Linked DNA regions of Diceros bicornis minor. The protein of the gene in region 3 interacts with the protein of the main gene of each other region in a pairwise test. Links are inferred from orthologs where the notes say so. Each region holds a gene or a part of one and is shown on either strand. Other genes may lie near its edges.

Region 1 (7,659 bases), about 30 Mb from region 3:
GTTTATTCTTCAAGAAAAAGTACCACCAGTGATGAGTTACTGAAAGTGAAAAACCAGATGCCAGAGAATCAACTTATTGGAAAAAAATTATCACAGAATTTCATAGAAGTATGCAAAGTCCAAGGCCATTTAGATTCTCGGCAGGACATTTTTATGATACAACATCTTAAAAGCATGAGTTATTCCTTTTGGAAGCAGGTCGATGGTGTGCCAGAACTGTCTGATTATTTTCTCCTCTTTTCTTGGCTACTTTCCAAGGTGAACCAAATGTTGTCTGATGCTGTGCACCTCCCATGACCCCTAAAATGTTTAATGTAGAGAAAAAGCTGATTTTTCAGTCTTAAAATAGCCCTTAGAGTTAAGTTTGTCATTGAAGAAGACACAAGACGTTACTCACAAAAAAGAACCCCCTCCACCCTCCCACCCTCAAGCCACCCCCATTCCTCTAGTCCGCTGCAGGGCCAAGTCCATTCTCTCCCACCCATTCGGGGTGCAGTGCACCCATTCGGGGTGCATTGGCTGACAGAGTGAGAGCAGCTATTTCAGACCACATATCCCATTTGGTCTCATTCAGTCCTAAGCAAATAAGCTTCTCTGATTTGCCACGAGAGCCGTCTGACTCTCCCGTCTCTTGGCTTTCTTGCTCCTCTGTCTCACCTTCCAGCACAAGGCACTGGAGGCTAACAAAAAAAGTCCCGATGAAAGAAGGACCAGACCTAAGATGGAGATGATGGAGCCGTGGGAATTGAAGCTGTAAGCCACAGCAGTGACCACGATCCCGGCGATGAGGACCACCACGGCGAAGGGGATGATGCAGCGGTAACAGGAGAGCTCGGCACCCCCCGTAGCTGCCGTCAGCTGAATCTCACTGACCAGGGGAACCAAGGTGACTATGACTTCGCTGTTGGGGCTCTTCTCCATTGTCACTGGCTTGGGAGACTTTGGGGCTCCCAGGATCTCCTTTATGGGCTCTTCAGTCATTTTTACAGCAGCGTCTCCTGGCTGAGTTCACAGACTAGACCTGGGGAGTCTTACCACGGTGGAAACTGTGGAGGAGAAGACAGGAGATGTCAGCTAAATGCATCAGAGTGAGCGGGGGAAACACCACTGTGATCTTTTCTAGGAGGCATGGATGCATGTGAAAATCAACTGTAATTTTTTTTCTAATTGTATTTCTAATTCTCTTTGTATTGGGCAAAAAGCAAGATAAAGCAGATAACCATAAAGAAAGCGACAATATAAAAAGCAGGAAGCACTTTACAGTGTTTAATATACCCTGGTGGTCTACAAATGTTTTACAAGCCTTTCTGTTTTGTCTATTGCTTCTTTTTGCTCTAAACACACAGAAAAGCCTCAATCCTAATCCAAAGACAGCCTCATTCAAGAGGAGAATACATTATAAACAATACTTTGAACAGTTTGTTCCACAACTCATAGCAACTTAGACTCTGCCAATGTTTCCGGGCATAACATGCATTCTTTCCAAACTATCACCCATTCACTGCCCACCAAATCAATGTCAGACCAGCAGCCATCGTACGAATGATGGTCTTCCACATCAACTTGACAGTCAACAAGGCTTTATTGTGTTAACTATTGAACACAGCCTAAAATGTGTCCTGGGACCACGCTGGGGATGCAGTTCAGCAAAAATTCAGTGACACTAAGGCTAGGATTTGTGACCTAAAATGTGGCAATATCCTCCAATCTGTTTGAAAAAGGAAAAATAAAAAAAATTCAACAATTTTGTAGGATATAATTTTGTGCTTCCTTACATTAAAGATAAGATCAACTATTAGAGTAATTAGTTTTTAATTCATAAATTTTCCTTTAAACTCAACAAAGAATTTTGACATTCCATGCACCATGACATGCTTAAAAAAATAAGCATGCTAGATTTTCAGTTAAGTTTCACACGTTCATTTTTTCTCACGCACGTGTGTACAAAACTTGCCGCCAGTCACCTAAGTATTTTGAAACTGAACATTTCAGGACAAAATCTGACACTGTCAATCAAAAGCATCTGGTTGAAATACTGTCTATGAGAAATCAGTGAATACTCTTGCCTGCTGCTCAGACATGTTAAGTCATTCTCTTTTGTCTTCAAGAAGCAATCTAGCTGCTAAAGAGTTGAGTAGTTAAGTTATTAAAAGCATTCCAAGGAAGATACTTGAGACCATTTCAATGAGATTAATACTTTGAACATATTAAGCATCCATCGAAAACAAATTGAACCCCAGATCAAACTTCACAGGTTCTTCCCTGTCCTGGGAGGTCAAAATATCCCTCCCTGGGCAATAAAGCTAAATACTAGAGCTGCCTATTTGCATGTAATTTTGTCACCAAATTAAGCACTGTTGTCCAATGATACCCTAAATACTGGCTAGGCTAGTAAAAGGACATTTGAGACTATGTTTGAAAGAAAAAAGTCTTCACTCCAAAACCGAGATTTAAGCTAACCTGAAAATGAAGCTCTGTCCCCAAACTACTTACGTGTACCTCCCAGAGAAGCAATCCATTACCAGGGAAACCACTCGACTTGGGAGGGAAGAAACAGCAACGCTTGAGCTTCTTCGGTCAGCTTCTGGGAAGAGAGCCTGTAACAGCACGTCTGTTGATAAAATGACAGGACAGGGCTCTCCCCCGGGGAAAAGAAAAGATGTAAAAATACTGTACTCTATAGCTGACTTTAGATCCTGGAGCTCTTTCTTCCACACTACCTCTGTTCCTAAATGACGCCTGTCTTTCCCTCTCTCTCTTTTTATTTCCTCCCCCTCCGGATTGCCCCTCCCTGCCACTTTTTTTTCCTCTCCGTTCTTTTCCTTGCCAGCAGATTCCGACTTTTGGCTTCCCCCAACTCTGCTCAGTGACATGATAAGTCAGAATCATTCTAGAGTCCCCAGAGACAGGAGCCAGTTTTTACTTTTATTTCTCTTGCAGCATGTACTCAGTAGACTGCTTCACATTACTCATTTTTTCCCCAGCCAACCTCCAGATCTTCCTCCCGCCCATCAGGCATTTTCATAAGAAAATCCCCGAGTCAGCGCTGCAGACCCAGCTGAGGGGACAGAGCCGGAGGGACAGACGCTTTAGGGCGGCGGGAACAGCTGTGAAGTCATCAGGCAGCTGAATTCAGCCTGTCAGCCAGCAAAAATCCATGTTCCTAGGTTTCTCCGGGATTCTTTATTTATACGTGTGTGCTGGCCATCCGAAGCTTAAAATCCTCCTTGTTTGACGTTAATTCATTTAGGAACCAAGATGCGAGACACAAATGTTGTGGTTAAGGGGGAAAACCTGTCATCTTGATTTAAACACGATTACTTACTACTTGGGAGGTAACTTTGGCAATGCTGAAATTATCATCATCATCATCATCGCTGTCATTTACAGAGCACCTACTATGGGCATGGCACATGCAATGTGCATGCATTGACATTAATTCTCACTAGCTTATAAATGAGTTTATAAATAGTTTACAAATGAGGCTCGGAGAGGTTTAGTAATCTGACAAAGGTCACACAGAAAGAGAGAAACTCTTGTTTTGAACCCCAGTCTTTATGGGCACATAAATCATGTGGGGAGCTTGTTAAATGCTAATTCTGATTCAGTAGGTCTGTAACAAGCTCCTGGCTGATGCCAATCTACCGCTCCTTGGCCCACTGTAATGAGCAAGGTATTTTAAACATTCAAAGATATATGGCTTGACACGTCTCGCCCTCAAACAATAAAATTAAAGGTCTATTTCCCACTCCCACCCTGCAAATGGCTTTATAGTTTTCTACTTTATTATAGACAAGCTATTTGAAATTTTAAAGCCCCAGATTGTCTTTTTGAGGCCAAAAGTGAGATAATACTGGGTAACTATTATATGCCTGTCCCTATACTTCTGTAGCTAAAAGTTACCCGTCCTCTATTTTTTAATCTATACAAGTTTTAATAACTTCTTTTTAATCAACACAGCCAATCTACAAATCTAAATTAAATCTCGGAGGAAACTGGTTTTCCTTCTCTCTCTCTCTGGTCGTTAGATTTCTCTAAGCGCTAACAGGGGGCCTGGGTGTCTTCTGGCATCTCACCTCTGTTCCAGGACAGCCCACTCTTTCCAGCCTCGTCTAGGAACAACACCTTGACGATTTTGTCATAAAAGCAGAAGGAACAGATGTTCTTTTCTCTAGAATGGAAGCCAGAGAGAGGGCTTCTTCATTTTAAAAAATAAAGTTGAGGTCCCTGAGGCCTGGCTGAGTTGGGGGAACCCAGCCTGCTGAGGTCGGTGAGTACCTGGAAGGCCTCGGTGCCACCATCCTCACGCTTTTTAAAATGTGGAGCCTAAAGGGACAGAGTCATCAATCAGGAGCGCTGCCCCTTGGCGTTAAAGATAAGGGATCCTTAGAACCAGGGCATTTCAGCCCTGGCCAACCCTGCCCTGGGAAGATGGTGATATCGAGGGCTACTGGCTACATATACTGGAGGCTCTTGAGCTCCTTCAAAGAGCAACAGTCCTGCCATCTGTGAACTGGGGCCTTTGCCAGGCAATTCCTCTCTAGTTCCTAGCGCAGGCTGCTTTCTCTCCCAAATAGTCCAATAACCCCACTGAAACTCTGAATGTCACCTGATCCTGTTGAAGATCATGTTGCCCCATTACCAAAGTCAGAAGTGCAGGAATCGAACTTGTTCCAAAGAGAAGCCAGGGGCAACTTTTCTCCATGACGAGAGCCCCTGGCTGAGTCTATAATGAGGGACAGTGAGAGTATCTGTGCGCTGGGAGCGTGCGTGGGCAGGTCTGTCATTATTTTTCCTAATACCAAAGCCTTCTTCCGGCTTCAGGTGTTGCATTCACCCTAATTCTTCTTCAGAGGGTCTGCATCTGCCTACATACACAGATGCACATCTCTAGACTCTAAGTAGACCACTGATGATTTGTATTGATAAACACAAAGAAGTAGAAAGCTTGGGGACAAAGCGGAAATTGTATCTGAAGAATAGAGACCTATCATTGTACCCGCCCACACATGCAATTTTAACTGACTTTTACCTCTTCAGATTGAAATTCAAAGAGAATTCCTAGTAATCCATGCCTGATGTCTTTGAATGTTTTTTCCTTCTTCCACTCTCTGCCTATAAGATATTAAACACCCCTAGGAATTCCTTAAGGGACACCTGCCCCCAAATGCAAATCTCATCCACAATGCGATCAGCCTTCTTTCTGCAAGCCTTCTTTCTGAAGGGAAGGGAAATCTTTCTGGTTTGTTTTAAAACGCATGGCTCCACGAGATTCCTTTAAGTTTGGAGAACTTTTCAGAAAGCTTCCAATGCACGAATTAATCTATACCCCGTTTCCCCATCCCTCCGTAGGAATTCAGCATTTCTCTCCCAGATCTTTCAAAAAGCAAGGCAAAGATTCTTACCTTTCCCAGCCAGAATCGGACTGAGACAGCTGCCAGCCCCGGCTAACAGCAACCCAGAAAGGGGGATGCAAATCACTGCACTAGGGACCGTAAACAAAGTTCGCCACAAGGCTTAAACACAATTTAGGGACCGGAGAAAAATTGGTGAGACGAAATCCCTTAAATGCTGCTGTATTTTGTCCTACGTTTCTATCAGAATGTAATCCACATTTTTAAAAAGGGAACCAAGTTTGAAAAGAATGTTCTCCTTTGTTTTTCTCTCCTTACATACTCATTCAGGCTTTCATTTTCAAGATTTTCCCTGTCCAAAGCCCCATCCTGATACTAGCCCTCTGTAATACTGTGAACCTGCAGAAAAGATTTTTAATCCTTGTTCTATGCTTCTAAGCGGGTGTGGAGTTTGGAAAGTGTGTGGGGGTAGGGAGTGGCACGGTAAACTAATCTCTTTCGCTGTTAACAGGCAAGTAATAAAAGGAGTAAAGGAAGAAAAGGATTGATGGTGAAAATGGCATTTGGTGCTTGTGTGGACCCTCTCCTTAAAGTCAGAGGAGTTATCTTATCAGCGCTCTTCATCAGAGGATGGCAAGACACCATGGAAATGATGGTGGACTGGAAAACCACATCTCTGATGAACTGAGGCAACCCTTCACCAAAGGCATCATAAACAGCCGAGCTAGGAGCACTTGTTGTTCCAGAGAGAATTCCCCCAAATTTGAAAAATCTCATTTTACTTAGAAGCAAGACCAGAAACAAAGTTACTTGGGTGAGGGATACAGAAGTACAGGAAGGCGGGGGAGACGGTAAATGCTATGATAAAGAGAAGATTTTGCCTATTTCCCTCCAATAGAAGCCAAGGGTTCAGGCTCTAGGTTGGAAAGGGGGACATTTTGATTTTGCCATTGAGCATATGCTGTTGAAGACCTGGAAATTTCTCCTTTGGGAACACACAAATTTTGCATTTGTGAAGAGCACCCCCATGTGCATTCAATTACTCACCCGTATTTACTTTCAGCCTGCTTTTGCTTGGTGTGGTTGAGTTGGCTAATTTCCAGCAGCCCTGAAGATGCCAGGTCCTCCCGGCCCTCAGTGCAACCACCACATGCCTTTGATCTCGGTCATCATCCTGTCTGATTGGATTCAGTGAGATTCCGGAAGCAGGCCAATTTTTCTCCTCTCCAGCGCTTCTTTTAAGGGTGTATCTTCATTTATGTTCTGAAATCATGGACATTTTGGAAAGTGATCTGAGCTTGTGTGTTCATTTTGGATAACAGGTCATGCTATTATTGCTTCCCCTAGGCACTTGTCTTTGAGGTCTAAGATCTGCTGGTACCCAGAGGAACGACGGATTATACATTAAACATAAATATATATTTTACTATTTGCTGGTCAATTTCCAGGTACCACAACTCATAAAATATATATTTTACTATTTGCTGGTCAATTTCCAGGTACCAGAACTCATGTGGATATAGAAAGGAAAACATACATCTTTTAGCTACACATCCTGGTCAACATTCTCTTACTCAGTTTGTTCTGAATAACTATGAAAGATCACATAAACATAAAAAAACAGAGCCACTGAAATCAAATGACACAGTGGGACCTTAGGGAGGGCTGAGTAAATCATCTCTCGCTTCAACGAGAACTATTGTCACTCCAACCTCGGATGAGAAGAATTGATTTTCTTGTTTTAAAATCCAAATATATGCTGAAACTGCTATGATCCTGATACATCCCCATGTTCCTTGCATAATTCTTTATATTTGTGTATATCATTCTTTGAAGACCTAAGATGAGAGAGCTCAAAGATAAGGAGTTATAGCAAATTGGGCTGACATTTTCCCAAAACAGGTGTGTAGCACTCAGGTCAGCCTCCTCTAATGGGCTGTGGGTCCTGTGTTCAGGGGCTTGTAGGAAGCCCACCATACTTGCCTTTTTCCAGGGAAGGAAAAATAGCGACCTCACGCTTTGCCACTCTTCTTGATACCTGATCATATGGGGGCCTACTATGCCCTTTTTACACACACAATCTCTGTCTGGCCTCTGGTGACAAATGTCAGTTGTCCTGTCCATAAAATGATGTGCACATGGGGTGACTCCAATCCACTCTTAGTCAGCACATAATGTCTAGGCTTCAGCATCAATCTGGTGCTGGGGATTTGAAACCACGCTGCTATATGTAAAATTTTCTAAAAACCAACAATCTGTGACATCCTGTAAGGGTCAGTTAGCTTTTCTTTGTTCCATGTTCATA
Region 2 (7,132 bases), on a different chromosome or scaffold from region 3:
CCACTTCCCAGTCTGTCAGACCTTTCCAGAAAGACCCAGAGCCAACATCTTGGTCCAGGTACCTCTCCCCACCCCATCACCCACGTAGATGCAGCAGCCCCTCCCATGGATACAAGAAGCCCACAGCCCCCTGCTGCCCTCTGGGGCAAGCTGAAACGGCCCCGAGGCCTAGGGAGCCTGGGTCACCACCTGGCCTGGGCACCCTGTCCACTCGGAAAACCACCTCTGACCCTCACCCCTGCCAACTTTTGTCCGCTCAGTTGGGAGGTCTTACTGCTCCCAGTGCCCCTTCTGGGCTCCCGCTGTCCTTGCCCTCCCTCTGGCCCAGCTCTGACTCCACAGAGGGTCCCCCCTCACCCTAACTCCAGGATGCCTGCAAGCCGAGTGCTCTCGGGGCCCGGCTCCGCCCAGCAGAGGGCGCCCAGGAGTGTCAGTCTGAAGGGAGAAGGAATGAGGGGGGCCACCGCCCGCTCCATCACCTGTGGGGGCCGGCTCGGTTACCCTCCCCCCTGACTGGGAGAGGGGAGGTGAAGGCTCCTGGGCGCGCGTCCCCGGACCCTGCTACCGACCGGGCCCGAGCACCCCCCTCCCGCGCTCCCGACACCTCCGCGACCGCGGGCGGGCTCGGCCGCCCACGTGCTCCGTCCTCCCCCCCGCGCGCTCGGACCACGTGGGTCTGAGCCCGGCCCCCCTGGCTGCCGCTGTCGCCGCCCTTGGCTCTGGCGCAGCGATGGGGCACACCAGCTTGGGCTCCCTCCGCGCGCTCGGAACCCCAACACCCCTCCCTGGCCCGCAGTTTCAGACGCTCGCCCCAACGAACCCCCGCAAGACCCGAAGGCGCACCCTGGCCCGCGCTCCCTTCTCTGGGCTTCCGGTTCCCTAGCTCCAAGTGGAGCCGCCTGTCCACGTTCACGGCCGCCACGAAGACGCCACACACGCAACGGGGAGTGGGGGGGGACGCGCCCCCTGGGGGCCGAGCCGGGAGCCTGCGTGCCCGGCCCACAGGGGCTCTGCCCGGTGGGACCCTCCAATCTGCGAGTTCCTGGCGGGGGGTGTCCACAGAGTGCCTGGGGAGTCACTAGCGGTCATTCAGCCCTTTAGCTTACCTTGACTGAGCGCCTACTGTGTGCTCTCGGCCAATAATCGCTGGTTCTTCATTCATTCTTCCCCTCACCGCACACTGGGAGGGTCAGTCAGCCTGTGACTGGTGCCGAGGACTCAGACCTCGTCATCCTTGGCCTCCGGGACTCCTGTTTGGAGTGGGACCCACATCTGGGAATGTGGCCCAGGATGCGTGTGTGTCGGTGCAGGAATGGAGAGGCACAGGCACAGCGGCTCCAGAATCCTCAAGCTGTGCTCTTAAAGCAGACATAGGAACAAGCAGGCAAGGTTGTTTCCAACTGTGCTGCCTGTGGCCTTCGTGGCAGGGCAGGTAAATGAAGAGCTCTTCAAGACAAATGAGCCTCCTTCTCTGTCTCAACTGGATCCTTCCGGATCCTTCTGGAAACATCTACATCCTTGCTACTCCAGGTGTGATCCTTGGACCAGCAGCATGAGCCTCACCTGGGATGGTCTGGAATCTGAGGCCCCTCCATGGACCTGCACTTAGTGGGGTCTCGAGGTTTCTCAGCTTAGCTGTGAGTTAGAATCCCCCCTCGAGTGTTTAGGAAATCCCCAGGCTCAGGCCACACTGCAGACCAATTTGGTCAGAATCTCCAGGAGCTTCTGTCTTTGTGTAAACTCCTCAAGTGATCTGATGCAGAGCCAAACTGAGAATCAGGCCTCTGCTGTCTCCAGGGCGGGGGAGGGGTTCCTTCTTCATCTGTGTGCCCGAGGTCACTGACCTCCTGGGGCCTGAGCCCTTCTCTGGCCGGGCCTCACACTCTATCGCACAGCGATGGTCCTGCCCATTAGCTTCACCCCCTCCTCGCTGGCCTCCCAGCCATCTCCATTTCCCTCCCATCCTCTGTCCTCTGGGAACCTGGGGTGCCCTAGATTCCCTCCCTCCCCAAGGGGCAAGGCCGTGGACACTACCCACCCACCCAACGCCAAATCTGCCATCCCAATTAGCCCTCTGCCCAGCCACAGCCATCCACAGTCCGTGTGACATAAAAAGGAAGTCCTGTTCAGAACTGGGGAATCGGACGGCGGGGAAGTGTTGAAATGACGAAGGCGGATGAGGCAACGAGCCAGAAGGGCCTCACCCGCCACACTCACCCGACTCCTGGGTCTCCCCGCCTGGAGCTGACTGTGCCCCTCCCCCACTGAGCACCTCTCCCGTGGAGGCCCTGGCTGGAGCGGGCCTTGGCCTGCCTCCGTTGGCAGGAGGTCCTGAGGGCCTGACACAGAGTCCCCGGTGGAGCCCAGAGGTCAGCGGAGAGTGAGGGGGACAGCAGAGTCGAGAAACTAGTGACTGGGTTGGGAATGTGCTGCCGTCCGATGCACCAGGCGTGGAGACAGTAGCAGGCAAGGCAGGGGCTTAAGAAGTGCCCAACAGGATCTAGGGACAGGCTGGGGCTGTCTCCGCCTCCTTTCCTTCCTCCTCTGCCCTCCCCACCCGCCAGCAGCCCCCACCTCGTGGGGCCCGTGGAGCAAAAGCCACAGTCACTTCCTGAAGGCAGCAGCCCCGGCTCGGGTCCCACTCGCCCCACGGCCCACCACCCGCCTGCAGCCATGGTGAGTGAGTCCCCAAGCCCTGGGAGGGCCCCCACGGGCCGGAGGCAAGGGGTGCTGTGGGTGGAAACTGGGGAGTTCCAAGAGGGGAGCAGCAGAGAGGGGCAGGAAGCCGTCTGGAAAACGAGAATGACCGTCACAAAGGCCCAGAGGTGGGAAGCATCCAAGACACGTCTCTGGGACACCTCGTGCTCCGGGGGGCTATGGTCCAGGCCAAGCCTGCGACCGTAAGGGGGACAGGGGGACTGCCGGGACTACTCCCCTCCCCCATGTCCGTGTGAAGAGCAAGTGGGTAGCAGGCAGCTATGATGAGCAGTACAGGGGCTTCCTGTGAATGAGAAATTGGGTTACGCACCTGCTGCCCCCCCGACCCCGGCAGTCATCCAAGGTGACCTGCTGACCCTGATTCTCTGGCCCTGTGGGTCACCTGGGAGCCCTTGCCCCGACCACCCGACCACCCGACCATAGTGGGGCTTTAACAGAGGCATTTCAGGCCCCAGAAAGGAGTCGCCACCTTCCTTGTTCTCGGGATGGGGAAAGCGAGGCACAGACAGGGGCACAGTCCACATGGTTCTGCCCCTCCCCTCCCCCAATCTCCTTGACCCCGGGGGAGATTGGGGGCCTGCAGCGGGGCCACCTCGGGGGTAATTTGTCAGGCAGAGCAGGCCTGGCATACATGTGCCTCTGCCTGTCTGTGACCGCTGGCGGCCGGTCGCGATGGCACCCAGGGCAGACTGCATGAGCCACAGAGGCTGCATGGGGGCCTGCATGCTGGGCCCCAGGGGTGCCGTCGACCGTGAGCGCCCCTGACCGCCAGCCTGGGTGTCTGGGCCTCAGAGAGAGACCCCACACCCACATCTGCCCCCAGGTCTCTCAGTGTCTCTCTGCATCCGTCTACATGAGTCCGTGAGGGGCAGGCTGGACATGGCTGAGTCGACGCCTGTCTCTGTGCCCTGTGTATATTCTTCATTTCAGCAAATGTTGACGGAGCCCCGACTGGGTGCCAGGCACTGGGAGGACAGCAGTGAATGAGCCGAGTTGCTCATTTAAAAAGCCATATGAGTGAAATAAATAGTATGATACAGGGCGGCAGGTGCTAAGAGAAAAATCGTGCAGGTTGGGGAGGATGGAGAGTATTGGGAAGGGGGAATTGTTTTTTTTAAATTAGCGTGGTCTGGGAGGAAGGCCTCTCTAATAAGGAGATACTGGAGCAGAGAAGTGGAGCAGGAGGAGGAGGAAGAGAACCACGCGGTGGGGGGAAGTGTCCCAGGCTAGGGGCGGGGGGGGGCGGGGGGGGGGAGGAGGAGGAGGGAGGAGGAGTTGGGGACCAGGTAGAGGTTGCTGGATGGACGGTTCAGGGCCTTCCTAGGAAGAGGAAGGAAGGCTGCCGGATTTTGAGCAGAGAGGCACAAGCCAACTCATGGTTAACAGGCTTCCCCCGGCTGCTGTGGGGGGACTGACCAGGAATGGGGTGGGGGGCGGGAGGCCAGGGAGGAGCCTGTTACAATAATCCACGCAACGGGGGACAGTGCTTCTGGCAAGTTCCTCCAGTGGTGACAGTGGTGCAGGCGGTGAGAAGTGGTTGGATTCCGGAGGTATTTTGAAATGAGAACAGAAAGGACTGGGGACCTAGGGGGTGCAAGAACGAGGGGATCTCGAGGATGCTCAGAAGGAAGGCACCACCCACTGAGGGGGAGGCTAAGGAGCAGCAGGTGGGGCCGAGGGAGGTAGGGCGGACAGGAGCTCAGGCCCTGAAGGGGTGAGGTCAGATCCTGATGGCGGGGAGGTCAGGTCCTGATGGAGGGAAGACTGGGTCCTGATGGGGGGAAGATTGGGTCCTGATGGGGTTGAGGTCAGGTCCTGATGGAGGTGAGGTCAGGTCCTGATGGGGGGAAGAGGGTCGGGTCCTGATGGGGGGAAGATTGGGTCCTGATGGGGTTGAGGTCAGGTCCTGATGGGGGGAAGAGGGTCGGGTCCTGATGGGGGGAAGATTGGGTCCTGATGGGGTTGAGGTCGGGTCCTGATGTGGGAAGATTAGGTCCTGATGGGAGTGAGGTCGCGTCCTGATGGGGGGAAGATTGTGTCCTGATGGGAGTGAGGTCAGGTCCTGATGGGGGGAAGATTGGGTCCTGATGTGGGAAGACTGGGTCCTGATGGGGGAAAGACTGGGTCCTGATGTGGGAAGATTGGGTCCTGATGGGAGTGAGGTCAGGTCCTGATGGGGGGAAGATTGGGTCCTGATGTGGGAAGACTGGGTCCTGATGGGGGGAAGATTGGGTCCTGATGGGGTTGAGGTCGGGTCCTGATGTGGGAAGATTAGGTCCTGATGGGAGTGAGGTCGCGTCCTGATGGGGGGAAGACTGTGTCCTGATAGGGTTGAGGTTGGGACCTGATGGGGAGGAGGTCCAGTCCTGATGGGGAAGAGGGTCGGGTCCTGATGGGGGGAAGATTGGGTCCTGATGGGAGTGAGGTCAGGTCCTGATGTGGGAAGATTAGATCCTGATGGGAGTGAGGTCGGGTCCTGATGGGGAGAGGGTCGGGTCCTGATGGGGGTGGGGTCGGGTCCTGATGGGGAGAGGGTCGGGTCCTGATGGGGGTGAAATCGGGTCCTGATGGGGGGAATGTGCGCTGATAGGGGGGAGGTTGGGTGCGCATTCGGAGCCCAAGCAGAGAGGTCAGGAGGGTGTAGTTTACAGGAGCCCATGGAATGTGGGAGTCCTCAGCCAACAGAGAAGAGGGCCAAGGGCAGAGGGTGGGGAAAAGGAGGAGCCTAGGGAAGGGGGTGTGTCCCCAGGGCTGTCTCTCCACAACCCCTGTGTGTTTGAGTCCCTGCCTGACTGGCTCCATGTCCCCTAGGGGAGCCATCAGGACTTTCGGACCCTTCAAGCAAAGTTCCAGGCCTCTCAGCCTGGGACCAGTGAACACCCCCAAAAACCCCCAAAGCCTGAGTTCAACAAACTCCTAAAGAAGTTTCCGCCGCCTGAGCTAAGCGAGCACCCCAAGAAGCCCCTGCAGCCCGAGTTCAGTGCAGTGCCCAGGAAGCCCCCGCAGGCTGAGTTCGCTGATCTCCCCAAGAAGCCCCCGCAGGCTGAGTTCGCTGATCTCCCCAAGAAGCCCCCGCAGGCTGAGTTCCCTGGTCTCCCCAAGAAGCCCCCGCAGCCTGAGTTTGCTGATCTGCCCAAGAAGTCCTGCAAACCCGAGTTCGGCGAACTCTCCAAAAAGTTCCCACAGCTTGAGGCCACTCTGTTCCCCAGGAAGCCCCCGCAGCCGGAGGCTGGTGAGGCCCCTCAGAAGACCTCGCAGACTGAGCACGGCGCACTTGGCCAGAAGCTTCCACAGCCTGAGCTCAGCCACCCTGCCAGGCCCCCCACAGAACCCAAATCCAGTGCATTCCCCAGGAAGTTCCGGCAGCCTGAGCCCAATGAGGCCACCCCAAAGCCCTCGCACCCTGAGTTCAGTACCTTTCCCAAGAAGCCTCCGCAGCCCGAGTTCAATGCGAACCTCAGAAAGCCCCCACAGCCTCAGGTCAGTGGCCTCCCCAAGAAGCCCCCGCAGCCTGAGTTTGGTGACCTCACCAGGACGTCCTCGGAGCCTGAGGTCAGTGTGGTTCCCAAGAGGCCGCAGCAGTCCGATTTCAAAGCGCTCTCCAAGAAGCCCCCGCAGCCCGAGCTGGGCGGCCTCCCCAGGACCTCCTCGGAGCCCGAGGTCAGCCTGCTCCCCAGGAATCTTCTGCAGCTCGAGGTCCGGGGGCCCCCCCGCAAGTTCTCACAGCCTGAGCCCAGCACTTTGCTCAAGAAGCACACGCAGGCTGAGTTCCTCGGGGGTCTCCCGAGGAAGCCCCCGCTCCCTGGCTCCGTCTCCGAGAGCTCACTGCCCACTGCCGTGGCGGGCTGCAGCCCCAGGTTCCCGCTCAGCCCAGGGTTTGGAGCCAGGCAGCAGAGGTCGGGGGCTCTCACTCCTAGCAGAGGGTCCAGGCTGGGGCTCAAACCCCGGCGGAGGCCTCTGCCCTCCGTCAGCATCCTGGGACCCCCTCCAGCCAAGCCCCCGCTGCCCCCGGGCCCTAGGGACATCCAGAGCTTTCGGAGACCCTCGGCGGCGGCCACAGGTGGGTCAGGGCGGCACAGGCGGCAAGGAAGGGGCAGGGGCTCCCTGGCGGTGCCTGCCCGCCTCCCTGCTGCTCCCATCTCCCCACAGCTCTGCGGAGGACCCACTCTTCCACTGGGATCCACTTCCAGGCCCGTCTGTCTGCCGACGCGCTGAAGTGAGTGTGGGGAGCGAGGGGCGCGGGCGCAGGTGGTGTGGCCGGAGGAGGCCCTCACCTGGGGTATCTCCGCAGGGCCCCGGATGAGACCTACGAGCTGTACGACGACGTGGAACCCACAGACGACTCCAGCCCCAGCCCCCGAGTCAGAGGTTTGTTGGTGGCGGGGCCGGGCCCACCACCTGCCAGGGTGCCTGA
Region 3 (6,863 bases):
GCCACAAAGCTCAGGTAAAGCCCTGGCGTGGAATAACAAGGCAACGTGGCGACCTCCACGGTCGGGGTCTGTAGTGGTTCACCCTGAGCACGGGGCCCAGCCTCGTCAGAGCAAAGGGAACAATGCCCAGGGTGTGACACTCCACACGCAGGGCACAGAGAGAAGGAGGGTCTGGAGTCAGCGCTTCCAGCTAGTGACAGTCTCTGAGATATCGCTTCACAAATTACGACAGGGCCAAAGACTGCCAGAGCTGCAAGTAGGACCCCTTAACAGCTAGCATCGTAGTTAAGAGGAAAGAGTTCCAGACAAACGATGAGTCCCAACGAAGTATGAAAAGGAGCTACGTGGAAGAGAAAGAACTTCCCAAACACAGTGGGCTCTGCAGAGGGGCTGGCCTTGCCCTGCCCTTGCCCCAGCTCTCCAGCAAGCTGGCTGCACTGACTACCTCCTGGATAAACAGGGAAGCAGCAGGTGAGGATGGTTCTGCCCACCCTCATCTTACCCCTCGCCAAGATGACCAGATCATCAAAGCAAAACACATCCAAGTCAGAGGTGAACCTGCAGGTCACCTGATCCGCAGATGTGACAGTGGAATTAATCACACTTCTGTTTGGCTGACCACAAATTTGGAGCAACCTGTTTTAGAAAAAACATTTCATTAGTACTTAATTGGAAAAGCATTACATGACCTCCATAAAACAAAAGCAGTTGCAGACTCCAAAATTTATACAAAAGGACCATCCGCTCAGGCTAAAAGTCATGAGATGCTTACAAACAAGCCCATTAGGCACACTGGCTGGTCAGAGACACATCGGAAGAGGGGGTTTCTTTTCATCTCCTTCCCCGAAAGGATGCAGCCCCAGATGGGTTTGGCTTTCCACTCACCACTATGAGGACCAGCCCCACCACTCGTAATGCACAAGAACCCAAATCTACTTCAGTCAGGAACATTGTCTTCTTGTTGCTCTGTAAATACATTTAATGAGCTGAATTTACAAAATATTTTCCTGGGACTTGAAGGAAAATCCAGAGGTGGCTCATCTGCTCTGCACTCAAGACACCGGACTCGACGCTGCCACCCTCTGGAACCCCAACGTGAGCCGTGAGAGCCAAACTCAGCACGCATCATCTTTAAGGGGGGCTAGGGAGTGAAAATTACAGGCCTGTGACCCCAAGGCGTCTTTCTGTCCTTCACTGACTGCCAAGTGGTACTCAACCATTTGTAAAACCTGAAATAAGAGAGTTGAGCAACAGAAAGATCTTAATCCCATCACTGGCACTTGCTGGAGGTGAGGGGCACCACTCCAGGGCAGGGCATGCAGTGCTTTTTTATTTGAGTTTACATCTGCCAAATTCCCTTGCCGCCGGCCCCGCCCCACCCCCCCCCAGCCACAAAGATAATGAGTAAATGAGAAATAAAATGGAAGAGAAGCTGAATAGTGCTGTAGTTAAGAGCTTAGACTCTGCTGACTTTCACAACCACATAAATGATTCTTTCACATAGGGAAACCGAAAATCAGTAAAGACTCAAAACCAAACACAAACAGAAACAAGTGAACCTAACTTATCACAAAGGAATAACATAAACACACTAAAGCAACTCTGTCAAACAGCACTTTGACTATATGTTCTAGGGACAAAAGCAAAACAACCGTGCGTAAATACTATAGTCTACTTGGTAGGTTTGCTTATGCATTGGCAATTCTGAGACTACTGTATGCATAGTCTAGCACTGAGCAAGTAAGTCAATCTACTGAGGAAAATGGGAGCCAGATTCAGAGAGGAAAAGGACTGTGGAAGGAACCCGCTGGTAACAGACTAGAACTGGAGGTGTTGAGGTAAACTCACAGTTTTTAGTAAATACACAGATATGGAGACATAGAAACAGATCCCGATGTATGTGGTGTACACAAATGCATGTTTCCTAGCTCCACCCACTGAGAAAGCTAAAAAGCAACCCCACTCCAGTAGCAGTGAGCACACCTGCACCCACATCTGGGTTTCTCAACACCACCGTCTACACTAAAAGAACCAGCACTCCTTAGAGAAATGACCGATTCTGGGCTAGGTCGAGGAAACCACAAGGTGAGCCTGGAACATCTTGTGATGCCAGAAAGTAAGGAAGTGCTCAAAAAGGCTGAGGACACAGAAGCCAAACCCCCTTAAGGGGCTCCTAATGCCCAAATCCGGACAATCAGGGCAACAAGAGAGCGACAGCAATGGGTTATAACCTATGGAATAAAAACAAAATATCTGTACCGACACAAATAACTCACTGAATAAACAGAAAAACGGGCAGAAGGGGAGGTTCTCTCGCACAGCAGAAGTCCAACTCATCAATGCCGAAGGAACCACCGACATGGGAAAATCGCCATTTGGCAACTACGACATTCATTACCGTTTCAGGAAACTCGCACTGCCGCTGCTGAAATGAGCGAGCATTTCCGTAGCCTCCAAGGATCTCCCCACAAGACGGTTATCACTCACAAGGGGAGAACGGTCACTCCATGACGGAGACACCGCCCAAACCAGCGACCAAAGTCCAACTAAGACAAGCGGCATCACGTGCCTCCCGAGTAGACGCACTGAGAACACAATTTCACTGTCGAGGTTTTCTCACCCAAAACGCATAACTGAAAGCACTCGTGAGCAAACACCAGATAAACCCCCACTGAGAGCCTTCTATGGAACACGGACGCGTGACAGTCACAGCGGGACTGAGGAACTGCTGCAGCCTGCGGAGGAGCAGGGAAACACGAACGGTGCTCGCGGGACCCCGTGAGCGACTCCAGGCGCCAAAGGCCCCCGCCGCCGAGCCTGAAGAAACCCAGGGAGCAGACCGCGGTTGCGTCAGCGCGAGTGTCCTCGTTTGCTGAAGAAACGGTGGCAAGGCGAGCGGAACGTTCTGGGGAATCTCGGCAAACGTACAGGGGAAATCTTCGCACCCCTGTGGCAACTCTTGTCAGTGCCAAACAACGTAAGAACCCCACCCTCGGCCAGACTGCCGCGTCTGAGTCCGTCCTCACGGGCTGTGGAGCTCGGCCGCTCCGCCCCCGCCCCCGCCCCCACCCCCACCCCGCAATCTCCTCACCGCACGGCACACCTCGCCGGGTCCCGGAAGGCCCACTCGGAAGCAAGCACGGCCTCGGCGGACTCTCCAGCCACCCCCGTCCCGGTGCGGGCCGCGGGGTCCACGCCGGGCGCAGAGCTCCGCAGGCCCGGCCCCGGCTGGGCGTCCGCACGCAGCGCCCTGCCCGGCAGGGCCGGGAAGCCCCGGGTTGCTCTCTGGCGAGCGACCGACAAGCCGCGAACCCAGGCACGTCCGCCGTCCGCGCGACGACCCCCGCGCTTCGGCCCGAGGCCCCGCCCGAGCCCCCCGCGAGCCGGCCTCGTCCCGCGGCGCCCGCGCCTCACTCGGAACGCCCACTCCGAGCGGCCTCGGGTCCCGCCGCGTTGCCATGGCGACCCGAGTCCGTCGGCCGCAGTCCAGGCGCGCTCGGTGCAGCGCTCGGGTCCCGCCGGCCGGAAACGCTAGCCCCGGCGCCGGGGTCCCGGGCCGCCCGGCCCCGCGCGCAGGCGCCGAGGGGCGCGCGGTGGTCCCCGGTCCACCCGACTCCGGGCGAGGGTGAGCCGAGTGAGAAGGGCTCCAGACCGTCGCGGGGCGGCGGGGCGACCGGGAGGCGGCCGAGGCTCCCCCGCGCGACGGCCCTCCCTCGCACAGCTGGGCTCCCGCAGCACGCCCATCTCGTAGCCCCGAGGTTGACTTGAGCCCGGGCAGGGGTCTCGGACCGACCTGGGCGGGGGCTGCACGCGGGGCGGGTGCGACTGCGCAGGAGGCGTGGGAGGGGGTCCGGAGCTGCACGTGGGGGAGCCGGCTGCAATCCGTGGGTCTGCACGTGGCGGGGAGCGAACACCCGAGCCCCCGAGAGATGTAGTGTCCTCCGTGGATCCTCCAGCAGAGACAGGGCGCGCCGGACGACTGCGCTCATGCTGAAGGGGAGGCGGCGGTCAGGCCGAGTGGGGCTGCCCCAGGCTGGCTCTGGGGGCCCCTGGAGGCTCTTCTTCTGGGCGCTGTTGCACGATGTTTGATTTGTGAGAATTCATCATTGTTGCACTCGTAACCTGTGCGCTTTTGTGTTTGTGTATTCCATTACAAGTTAAAAAGAGAAACAAAACCTTTGCAGGCAGCCTGCCTCACATAGGCAAAAGTGAAACTTTCACCAAGGCCCCCAACCCGTGCTTAGGGACACCCTTCACTGGCGTCTGAGCATTGTCGCAACAAGTGGAGGCAAAACACTGCTCAGCCCGCCTGTCCGGTGGCACCGCAGGGCTCCCGTTAGTGATGAGCACAGGGGCCTGGGGACACAGTCTCCCCCATGCTCTTGGTCCGGCCCCTCCTGTCCATCCGTGTTTTCTCCACCCTGATGGCATGCTGGCTGCCTGGGGCCTGTCCCCAAGCTGGTCCTGCCAGTGCTGGACAAACGTCCCACCCAGTTCATGATAAGAAATGTTTTGCTTTAGGAGGTGGCTCCTGGAGGGAGGTCCAGGAGTTAGAATCAGAGACAGATCAGTCATTCAAGCCTCATGGATATTGGAAGACATGATCCTATCCTTGCACAGAAACCACAGGAAAATAGCCACACCCACCTGGAGGAGCCCAGAGGGTCCCGTGACCTTTAATCTGCATCTCACAGGCCCTGGGCACCCTCACTGCCTCCAGACCGGGGTAACATGCTGTGACAGAGCCAGGGTTCAAATCCCAGCTCCACTTCTGCCTTATTGTAGCTTTCCGGGACTCGGTTTGCTTCTCCATAAAATGGGGTGAACATGCTTCCTTCCCCATTGCTTTGAGGGTTACAAACACCATGTGAACTATGCGGGTGCTGGTTCAGCCCCAGTGAAGGGGCTCAGTGGTGTGTCTCTGTAAACCAAAAGGGCCAACAGGACGCACCCTCTTCAAAAAGGACAGATCCTAACAACGAATGTGAGCTCTGTGCTTCACCATCCCTGGCCCCTAACCCTGACCCAGAGCCAACCCTAACCCACTTCAACCCTAACCCTAACCCTATGATAACCTTAACACTGACCTCAACCCCAACCCTGACCCTGGTGCTAACCCTAAGGGCAGCCCCAGGGTCAACATGGCCTTGCTTCCCATAGGAGGGGCCTGCTCCTACTACCCTTTCCCAGTGACATGCGTCCTCCCGGCCCCTCCTCTAGTCTCCCAGCAACCCCAGAACTTCTGACCCTCTCACCTGAGCCCTAGCTAAGGCTTCCAGGGTGCTAGGCCCAGAGAGGTGCCGTGCACCCCTGCCCCCGAACGTCACAGCCAGCAAAACGGTGGAGGCTGCCAGTGGGCCCTGCTGAGAGCCCAGGCGCTCAGCTTCCTGTGAGGGGCCTCGTCACCCCTAATCAGCCCCCCTGCCCCTCTGAGGTCTGCAAGCTTGTCCACTCGGCCTCCCCGGGACCCCTTCTCCATGCCCCACACCCTGAGAGACCAACAGATGCCTGTGGGAGGACAAAGGGACATCCTGGACACCAGAGTCAGGCCCACAGAGCCCCTCAGCACCTGCCATCTTTGCCTGGGTCTTACTGCCCTGTCTTCCAGTGCCCACCCCCCAGCTCAGGCCCATCACTGCCTCATCCCCTCACTCATCTGACCAGCATTTAGTGACCACCCAGGCAACGCCCCCCACCCTCCAAGGGCTCCTGCCTCCTGGGCCCACCAGGGCTGGCATCAACACACAGCGGCCCAAGTAGCCCCCGGGCCAGGGCCCCTCGACGGCCTCCCTGCCTGGGAATCTGATGACTGACACTCTCCACCTGGCTCCCTGCCCGGTCTCCCCACAGGTCAAGCCAGACCCCACATTACCCGAGACTGACTGCCCCAACCTGCCCGCCATCCTGCTGGTCAGGCCAGACTCACACCCTCCCCTCGCCCACCCTCTGCCCACCCCGCAAGGCAGTCGCCCGCCACCCTGGGAGCCCCTAGTGCCAGCTCCCCAGCAGCCACCCTGTGGTCACCCCATCACAGATGGAGAAACAGAGCAGTGGAAGCTGAGGGAGCCTACCAGGCCCCTGGCAACCAGCACAGACAGGATCCAACTGTCCCCACGCCCTGGCACACAGTCAGAGCTCAGTAAATGCTCATGGGGTAAGAACGTTGGAGGGACACCGAAGGGCGGCAAGAGGCTGGCACTGGACTTTCCCATGGAGCTAGCAGGCTCTGAGGGGCCCAGCTTCCAGGCAGGTCTCGTGTCACATGGGACGGCCCCCCCCATGTCACATGGAGCTCCCACAGCCACCGTCTGTGGTGATTCTAAAAGTCTCCCCACTTTATAGATGAGAAAACCAAGGCCAGAGGGGCTCAGGAACGGGCTGAGGCTGCACAGCTCAGACAGGGCTTGGGCCGTCCTGCTCCTATCAGTGCCCCCAGGGCCTAGCCATGCCCAGCCCAGAGCAGATGTCAACACTGGGTGGCAGGCTGGCTCCGTCCTGGGGTGGCATAAACCAGGAAGGGCCATCGCTCAAAGGGCTGGTTTTGGGCTGTGGTTCCTGGATCCCGAAATACAGCCTGAGCTCGATGGCCACCAAGTGACCACTGAGTGAGCAGCCTGGCCTGGCAGCTGGACGCCCTCCCACCACAGTGCCCCAAGGGGACACAGGGAGCACCCAGGGCTGCCCGAGGAGGCCCCAGTTCTGACCGCACATGACTCTGGGTCCTTCCTCTGATTTTTGGCTATGGGCTTCATGGTGCTGGGAGCTGACCTCACAGTGGGACCCCGCCCCCACAGGCTCTCATGGGGTCCCAAAAACACAAGGATCCAGGGCGGAGCCGGCCTGGGCACTGACCTGTGTGGCCT
Region 4 (7,504 bases), on a different chromosome or scaffold from region 3:
ACTTCTGCTTTGTCAGACCCTCCAATCATTCTCCACAAAGCCATGAGTCATCTTTTAAAAATGTAAATAGGAACATGTCATATCTCTTAAAAGCCTTTGAGGACCTCCCACTGCACCTAGAATAAACACTTAACCCTTTACCTTGGTCTATAAGGCCCTGAATGATCAGGCCCTGCTTACCTTTCCAACCTCATCTCCTCCCCTCTTTCCTTCTCTCTTTTCCAGCCCTGCTGGCTTTCTTTCAGATACTTAATCACACAAAGCTCTTTCTGTCCCTATCTTAGGGCTTCTGCATACGCTGTTCCCTCTGCCCGGAATGCCTCCCCACCCCCCACTCTTCAAATGGCTGCTCTTTCCCATCTATCAGGCATGGACTTAAATGTTAACTCATTTAAGTAAGTTCCCTCCAACTTCCTTTTTTAATCATAGTAGCCTGTTCATTTCTTTCCCGACATTTCCCATCTTATAATCATTTGACTGTTGATTTTTTATTGTCTAAGTTCCCCAGCAGACTGGAAGCTCTGTGATGATGTGGACTACGTCTGCTTCATTCACCACTGAATAGTCAGTGACTATTAATAGTCAGTGACTTACTAAATGCGGAAAATTTGTTGAAAAAGAGAAGGCCTCCCTGTTGGGAGAGTCAGTGAAATTTTAACAGCGAATTATAGAATGTTGCTTTGCCCAAGTCATCATCAGTCACACAACAAGGCCTATGATATGTCCTTGATATGTCCAACTGAGGCTAGATTCAAGGAACATGCCTCAGGGCCCAATACGGGCAGAGAGTCCTGCAACGGTGTGTGTGTGTGTGTGTGTGTGTGTGTGTGTGTCTGTGTGTGTGGAGTGGGGAGGGAGTTGTCTTTGGGAAACCAAAGGACTGAAAGGGGCCTGGGACAGTTGGTTCTCTAATCAGTCTTGTGTAGTGGCTACAGCATCTGAGTTTACTACATTTTATAGATGACAAAGTTGAGACAAATTAACCTTTAAAAGTCAAGGTGGAGACCCAAGGCAAACTGTGAAGAAGGCAAAGCTTGGCTCCTGCACTCTCTTTCCTGTCTTTCAGTGCATCTTCCCCCAGCCCCAGCGTCCTCTGGCTATCAGGCTTACTGTGGCAGCTTATCCAGGTTTGCTTTTGGATCCTTCAAGTGTGGTGGTCTCAGAACACTGACAAACTCACAAGACTTAGCTTTGTTTTTGGGGGGTAAGATCCTGTCCCTTTGAAATTAGCTCATTATATAAACTAGTCTCTCCTAAGGTAATAAGTTTCCAATACAAATTTGCAGTTTAGCAAGGCACTCTATACGTGGAACTAGAGAAATGACTGACTCCTCTACCACAGTAAGCCAAAGGAGAATGTAATCTTTGGGCAAGTTGTTCAAATCACAGGCCCACTGGCAGTTCTTATTATTACTAATTTATACAAACTGATCTTTACATATGACACACATTCTCTCATTTGGTTCTCATAACATCCCAGTGAGACAAGAAAGAGAGACAATTATTATAGTTCTCTTACACCTAGGGAAACTGAGATTGAAGGAAGTTACATCTTAATATCATCTGGCAAATGGCAGAGAATGGATCCTAATCCAGGACTCCAAATTCTTTTCCTCCATTCAAATCTTTTTCCTCCATGACTTTGCTCCCTTTGTTGGCTACTAAAACTTGTGTTGAATGGAAACTTTATCATGAATGAAAAAGGTCCTAGGACTCTGAGCCTGGTTCAGGTTCAGGGTCTCAACCTGCCTTACTCTAAATAACCTCAAGTAGTTTATGTCTGTTGCTGAAATATTGACATTAAAAGGTGTTGCTACAGATTTTCTCATTAACAGTTTTAGTGTAAAGAGATTAGAATTCCAAAATATCCAGTCATTTCTATTAGCCCTAGACCATAATGTTTTTTTTTGTATGAGAAGCTTTGGACAAACAGTATTAAGAATCTTTATCTGGGGGTAAGGAGGTTTATATCTGCAGATTGCTAGTTAAAATTCAAGGTTCCAATCTTTTAAGTGAATAGAGCAGATGGCAGACTCGGCCCTCTACCTAGCAGACAGGTGTTCACAACACATTTGACACTGAAAATTGATTAGTGAAAAGGCTCTCACTCGAGCCTGAAGAGCTGGTTAGGAAACATCGGAAACTCAGTAATTTGCTTCTCTGGATGCTTAACTACATCTGTGTCTGATTTACCCACTGAACTCCTGATGGTTTTAAACACTGCCTCTCATGTATTGTGTTAAGATGCACTAATAACCAAGACTTTAGGTGACAACAAAACACAGCTGACAGCACAGCTGATTCACCTGATTTTTTTTATGAGTTATCCACTATGGGGTAGATCAGTTTTCCTTAAGTTAAAAAGGAAATATCTACTCCCAACAGATGCTAGAGCATAAGGAGTAAAGTTCTGTATTTTGCACTCTCTAGAAATAAAGTAAATGCTCTCTCAACAATCTCTTTGGTGAAAATTAAAAGACTTTTCAAAGCCTCGGTTTTGAGTATTTTCCGCGGGGGCAGAAAGAAGGTGGTGGGCAAGGATTGCCGGCTAGGGAGAATCTGGACAGGGCGCCGCGTGTCCCAGCCCGTCCTTCAGCCCAGCGCGGACGCGGACCAGCCCTCAGCCGGCCCCCAGCCCTGGCCCACATCCCGCCCCTGCATTACCGGCGCCCGCGCCGGCCGCACCGCCTCCTCGTCTTCTTCCTCTTCCTCGTCCTCCTCCTCCAAGGCCGCCGCCGCCGCCGCCAGGGCCTCTAAGGGGTCTTCGCGTTCATACTGGGCGACCCGCGCTCCGGTGTTGAGATTTCCCAGGGTTTGGAGACTGCAGGCCACCGGCTTCGCCCCTGAATGGGAGGCGGCCATCACCTCGCCGCCGAGGCCTGAGCGCCCGCGCTGGCCCGGGGCGGGGAAGCTGGCGTGGCCTCAGGCGACCCGGCGGCTCCTTGCTTGAGGAGGGCGGTTGCGAGGGGCGCGGTAACTAGGGACGCTACAGGGGCCGCGAGGGGCCAAAAGTCACTCAAACTCTTCTCCCGCTGCCGGAGACCTAAGACCGGCGCTTCCTGGATAACAGGAGTCATTACTCAGTCTTTGCTGGTTTAGAGGGTCGGCTGGCGGAACAGAGCACCTCTTCCCCAGTTTCTCGCCTCACCGCCTAAACGTAGACTTCTCACATGAAACAGATCGTTTTGTGCAAAAAAGAGCGCATGAAATAACATGTTAGGAGGAGATGGCGGCGGCAGGAGAAAGCAGAGGATGCTATTGTGTGGTGATCTCAGAACAGCGGCAAGGTTTGCATTCTGCTACCTAACATGGTTCCCCCGGGAGCCAGAGAATGGGAAGGAGTACATTTTTCTCTGATTGACTTGAGAGCTAGCAGAAATCGACCAATCCGAAAGAGGCTGCTAGTTATCCCACTCGTGTTCTTCTTGCCCTGACCAATAAAAGCCAGAGTTCGGTGGAGCCTGGCCCACCCACCAGTGAGTGACAGTACAGTTGTATGAACTGGGCGTTTGCTGCTTGGGTTCACCAGCTTTATAGTAGTGGGGTTGGAGGGTGCAAGCGCTCACCAGTAACCACAGACACACTCCATTTCCACCTCACCCTACCACCATTTCCCGCGCGAGATTTGGGTGCTTCAAATGGCGCCTCCCCGCTAGGCCGCGTGCCTGTAGGAGAGGCCTAGCCTTAAAAGAGCAGATGAGGTGCAGTCTCAGCCACCTGCTACCTAAGCTCCTGCTTTCTGAGGCTGAGGCTGCTGCAACCTCCCCCTCTCTATTCTTCAGCCTCCTTGTGCCCCCGGACCTACAACCCTACAACCAGCCATTGCCACCATAAAGTTAGGGTATGCAGCATGCGTACCCCGTCTGGAACCCATCTCTGAGGTCTGAGCCTTTCTTGTTTCTAAGCCTTTCTTGTTCGCGGGTCTGGAGTGTGAGCACCTGCAAAATCCCCTACTCTCCCACTTCCTTCAGGCTGCTCTTTGTTTTTGCTGAGATTTGCTTCGCACGCTGGAACAGATGCTGGCTGGATTCTGAACAGAAGCCAGAGCTGGAAGCCCATGAGGTATGGACACCCCAAGTGACCAGAGTAGGGACTTCCGGTCTTTCACATGCAGCTGGTTCTGTGGCTGCATGTGCCCCTCTTGGGATTAGGTACAAACCTGACCCCAAAACAGCAATAGAGGTCTACATGCTGAAGCACTGCAAATGGAAGATTAGGCAAGAATAGAATAGAAAAGAAGGAATGAGTGTCGAGGACACGATGTGTGTGTATGTAGAAGAGCAGAAAAGTTTCCACTCACCAGCAATATTCTAAATTTGCAGATATCTGATAACATAGCCTCAAAGTATACAGAACAGAAATGGACAGATCCACAAGAAGAAAATGACACATCTTACATCATTATAGGAAGAATTGTTTTTGCGCTTTTGAATTGAGATGGAACATATACACTGAAATGAATAGATCTTAAAAGTATAGATAGATGTATTTTGACAAATGCATACACTTATGAAATCATACCCTTATTAAGATATAGAACATTTCCATCATCTCAGAAATTCTCCTTGTACCCCTTCCCAGTCTGTTCCCCATTCATCCCCTTGACTGTTCTAGAACTTCATATAAATGGAATCATACCATATGTACTCTTTTTGCTCAGCATACTGTTATTTTTCTTTGAGATTCATCCATGTTGTTGTATATATGAGTAGTCTGTTTCTTGTTAATTGCTGAATAGAATTCTTTGCTTAAAGAGATAATAATCTTCCAATACTGGAAGAATTTTCCTCATTTTTTGGTGCTATTCATAATGTAACAGACAAGACATACTCATATTTAATCTGCACTATTAACGTTGTCTTTATCACTATCTTAAATTTATCCATTCACCTGTTGATGGTCATTTGGGTTGTTTCCATTTTTTGGCTGTCAATTTGGGTCCTTCAGGAAGCAGACACCAAGAAGGAATTAGAAGTGCAAGAGATTTACTGGGCAAAATTCCTGTGAAAGAAAAAGGAAGAGGAGCAGGAAAGTCTTCAGGCCAACATACGATCTGACACCTTAGAAAGGAGAGAGGGAAGGGAAAATGTTGTGTAGGAGGAGGTTGAAACTGCAGTGCAGCTCTGAGAAAGTCTCAGCTAGTTAAAAAGAGAGCTCCAGTGCTAAGATTGCTCATAGAGGAGTTCTGCGATGGGCAGAAATGGCCAGACCCTACCAGCCCTACCATCTCAATCATTGGCTAGAGCTCCCTGGGAAGAACATGTTCTCAGATGGAACACTGTGAAAAATCCTCAAGTGCTGGTATGCTGGTAAATGGTTACTGAGAGACTCTCTGGGGGAAAGTGTGTGTGTGTGTTTGTGTGTGTGATGACACACTTATTGTAAATTTTAGTGATATAAAGGATTGTAGCATACAACTTAGAAATATCAAAATATACTCTTTACTGTGACTTCCTCATAAACAATTGATTCTCCCAGAATACTTTCATTAGTTTTTGCTGAACTCTTGTATCTGAAGCCAGCCTGTGGTTGCAGTTGATTAACAATGTAGTTCCAGCATGGATATTGGTTGATATTTTTGCTTATATTAATAAGATGAAAGTGAAGTAATCAAAATGTATGTCAGAATTTCACTTGTTTTTCAATATCGTGAGCAACTTCTTCACTGAAATAAATACTTTTCTAATATTGAAAGATTTCCTTAATTTTTTGTGCTATTCACAATGTAGTGGCTACAGGCACCACACAATTTTAAGTTTTTTTCCTGCATTATGAACATTTTCCCTGTCAATCACTTTAAGTTTAAAAGTCCAATTTATAGCATTTGCTGATTTACATGGTGTCAATACTCCCACCAAGGCCAATTCCAAGCTACCAATGTGACATCACTGAACATGAACTTGGGGAAGGACGTCCAGTAGCACACCATTATATAGTTTTTCACTGCAGAGATATAGTAGGTGCAAATAAGCTCAAGAGCATATAAATATAAGTAAAATATGGTAACAGAAGAGGAGGTAAAGAGTTTTGAGAAATTATCTTTGTTTTGAACATTATTTAATTGTAATTTAGCAAAACTAATTTTTAATAATGGCTGTGTTTAACAAATTAGTAATGGCTGAAAATTTTACAATCAACTCTCTCAAGTCCGTACCAGCAGGCTCCAGCACACTGCTGTATCGATTGACTGCACTCCTCAGAGCAGATCCTGTCTTTAGGGGACATCCAAGCAGCTCAGCTATATGGCTGCCACATTTGCTACTGTGAATAAAGCAGCTGTGAACAGTCCTGTGGAAGTCTTTGATACATTTGTGTACATATGAAGGGGTATAGAAGATTTGAACAGCACAATTAACAATTAGATAATACATAGCTATTGGATGATAACATAGCTAATATATATATATTAAAAAAACACAATTGGAGAGTATACATTACTTTAGGAACACATGGAACATTATAAAATGTAACCATAGTACTAAGCCATAAAGCTAGCATCAACATATTTCAAAGGATTAACATCAAACAATCAACATTCTCTGATCACTTAATGCAATTAAGTTAGAGAATAATTAAAGAATAACTAGAAAAGCCTTTTCAGTTTGGAAACTTTAAAATACTTCTAAAAAACAATTCATAGGTTACAGAAGAACTCATGACAGAAATTATAAAATCTGTAGAATAATTATATTTAAATTACATATGAAATAAATATAGTTGCTTAGAAACCACTTAAAATATACATTAAATATAAATTGTATATTTTATTTATATATTAATATGTAGTATGATAATACATAACATAATATTATTATATAATTATACATTAACTTGTAATAATTTTTTGTGTGTGAGGAGATCAGCCCTGTGCTAACATCTGCCAATCCTCCTCTTTTTTTTGGCGAGGAAGACTGGCCTTGGGCTAACATCCGTCCCCATCTTCCTCTACTTTATATGGGACGCCGCCACAGCGTGGCTTGCCAAGCAGTGCGTTGGTGCGCGCCCGGGATCCAAACTGGCGAACCCCGGGCTGCTGCAGCGGAGCGCGCGCACTTAACCGCTTGCGCCATCGGGCCGGCCCCTTAACTTGTAATAATTTATTAATATATTTAATAACATATATTTTAAGTGGTTTTTAAGCCACTAAGTTTTGGAGTAATTTTTTAATGCAGAAGTAAATAATTTGAACACTTGGTTATCAGTATAGCTTCTAGAATGCTTCAGATGATTCTAATGTGTTACAGGTTGGAGAACCAAGGCTCTAATTCTTCTCTAGGATACCTGACTATTTCCTTAGTTCCATTTGCTCTCTGGTCCTCTTGCTCCCTGCTGCAGTAGCAGAGTCTACATCTCTTGTGCTAAAGCAACATTGACTACACCCATGGAGGCTCTGGCTCCTTACACCACTTCCAGACTCAGATGAAGCACTGAACCAGTGGCCCAAGATCTGGCTTCCCCAGCATCTGACTGGAGGCACTGGGCAAGAATCAACACCCTGGGACAA

The links.
Region 1: the proteins of CCDC57 (region 3) and TMEM100 interact in binary tests that used the Homo sapiens proteins (3 or more experiments, as listed by UniProt). The two-hybrid records come from large-scale screens. The link is inferred for Diceros bicornis minor from reciprocal best matches to the Homo sapiens genes CCDC57 and TMEM100.
Region 2: the proteins of CCDC57 (region 3) and PRAM1 interact in binary tests that used the Homo sapiens proteins (3 or more experiments, as listed by UniProt). The two-hybrid records come from large-scale screens. The link is inferred for Diceros bicornis minor from reciprocal best matches to the Homo sapiens genes CCDC57 and PRAM1.
Region 4: the proteins of CCDC57 (region 3) and FAM161A interact in binary tests that used the Homo sapiens proteins (3 or more experiments, as listed by UniProt). The two-hybrid records come from large-scale screens. The link is inferred for Diceros bicornis minor from reciprocal best matches to the Homo sapiens genes CCDC57 and FAM161A.

What each region holds. Positions count from the first base shown.
Region 1 is NC_080757.1:31,650,010-31,657,668, reverse strand, and holds TMEM100 (transmembrane protein 100), read right to left. Parts: upstream 2,652-7,659; 5' UTR 2,500-2,651; intron 1,047-2,499; 5' UTR 982-1,046; coding exon 577-981; 3' UTR 505-576; downstream 1-504. UniProt on the Homo sapiens protein: Plays a role during embryonic arterial endothelium differentiation and vascular morphogenesis through the ACVRL1 receptor-dependent signaling pathway upon stimulation by bone morphogenetic proteins, such as GDF2/BMP9 and BMP10.
Region 2 is NW_026691615.1:234,854-241,985, forward strand, and holds the start of PRAM1 (PML-RARA-regulated adapter molecule 1), read left to right. Parts: upstream 1-4,124; 5' UTR 4,125-4,139; coding exon 4,140-4,268; intron 4,269-5,529; coding exon 5,530-6,778; intron 6,779-6,867; coding exon 6,868-6,934; intron 6,935-7,009; coding exon 7,010-7,086; intron 7,087-7,132. UniProt on the Homo sapiens protein: May be involved in myeloid differentiation. May be involved in integrin signaling in neutrophils. Binds to PtdIns(4)P.
Region 3 is NC_080757.1:61,588,975-61,595,837, forward strand, and holds the start of CCDC57 (coiled-coil domain-containing protein 57), read right to left. Parts: upstream 3,021-6,863; 5' UTR 2,563-3,020; coding exon 2,399-2,562; intron 637-2,398; coding exon 503-636; intron 1-502. UniProt on the Homo sapiens protein: Pleiotropic regulator of centriole duplication, mitosis, and ciliogenesis. Critical interface between centrosome and microtubule-mediated cellular processes. Centriole duplication protein required for recruitment of CEP63, CEP152, and PLK4 to the centrosome.
Region 4 is NC_080751.1:25,472,652-25,480,155, reverse strand, and holds the start of FAM161A (protein FAM161A), read right to left. Parts: upstream 3,009-7,504; 5' UTR 2,863-3,008; coding exon 2,665-2,862; intron 1-2,664. UniProt on the Homo sapiens protein: Involved in ciliogenesis.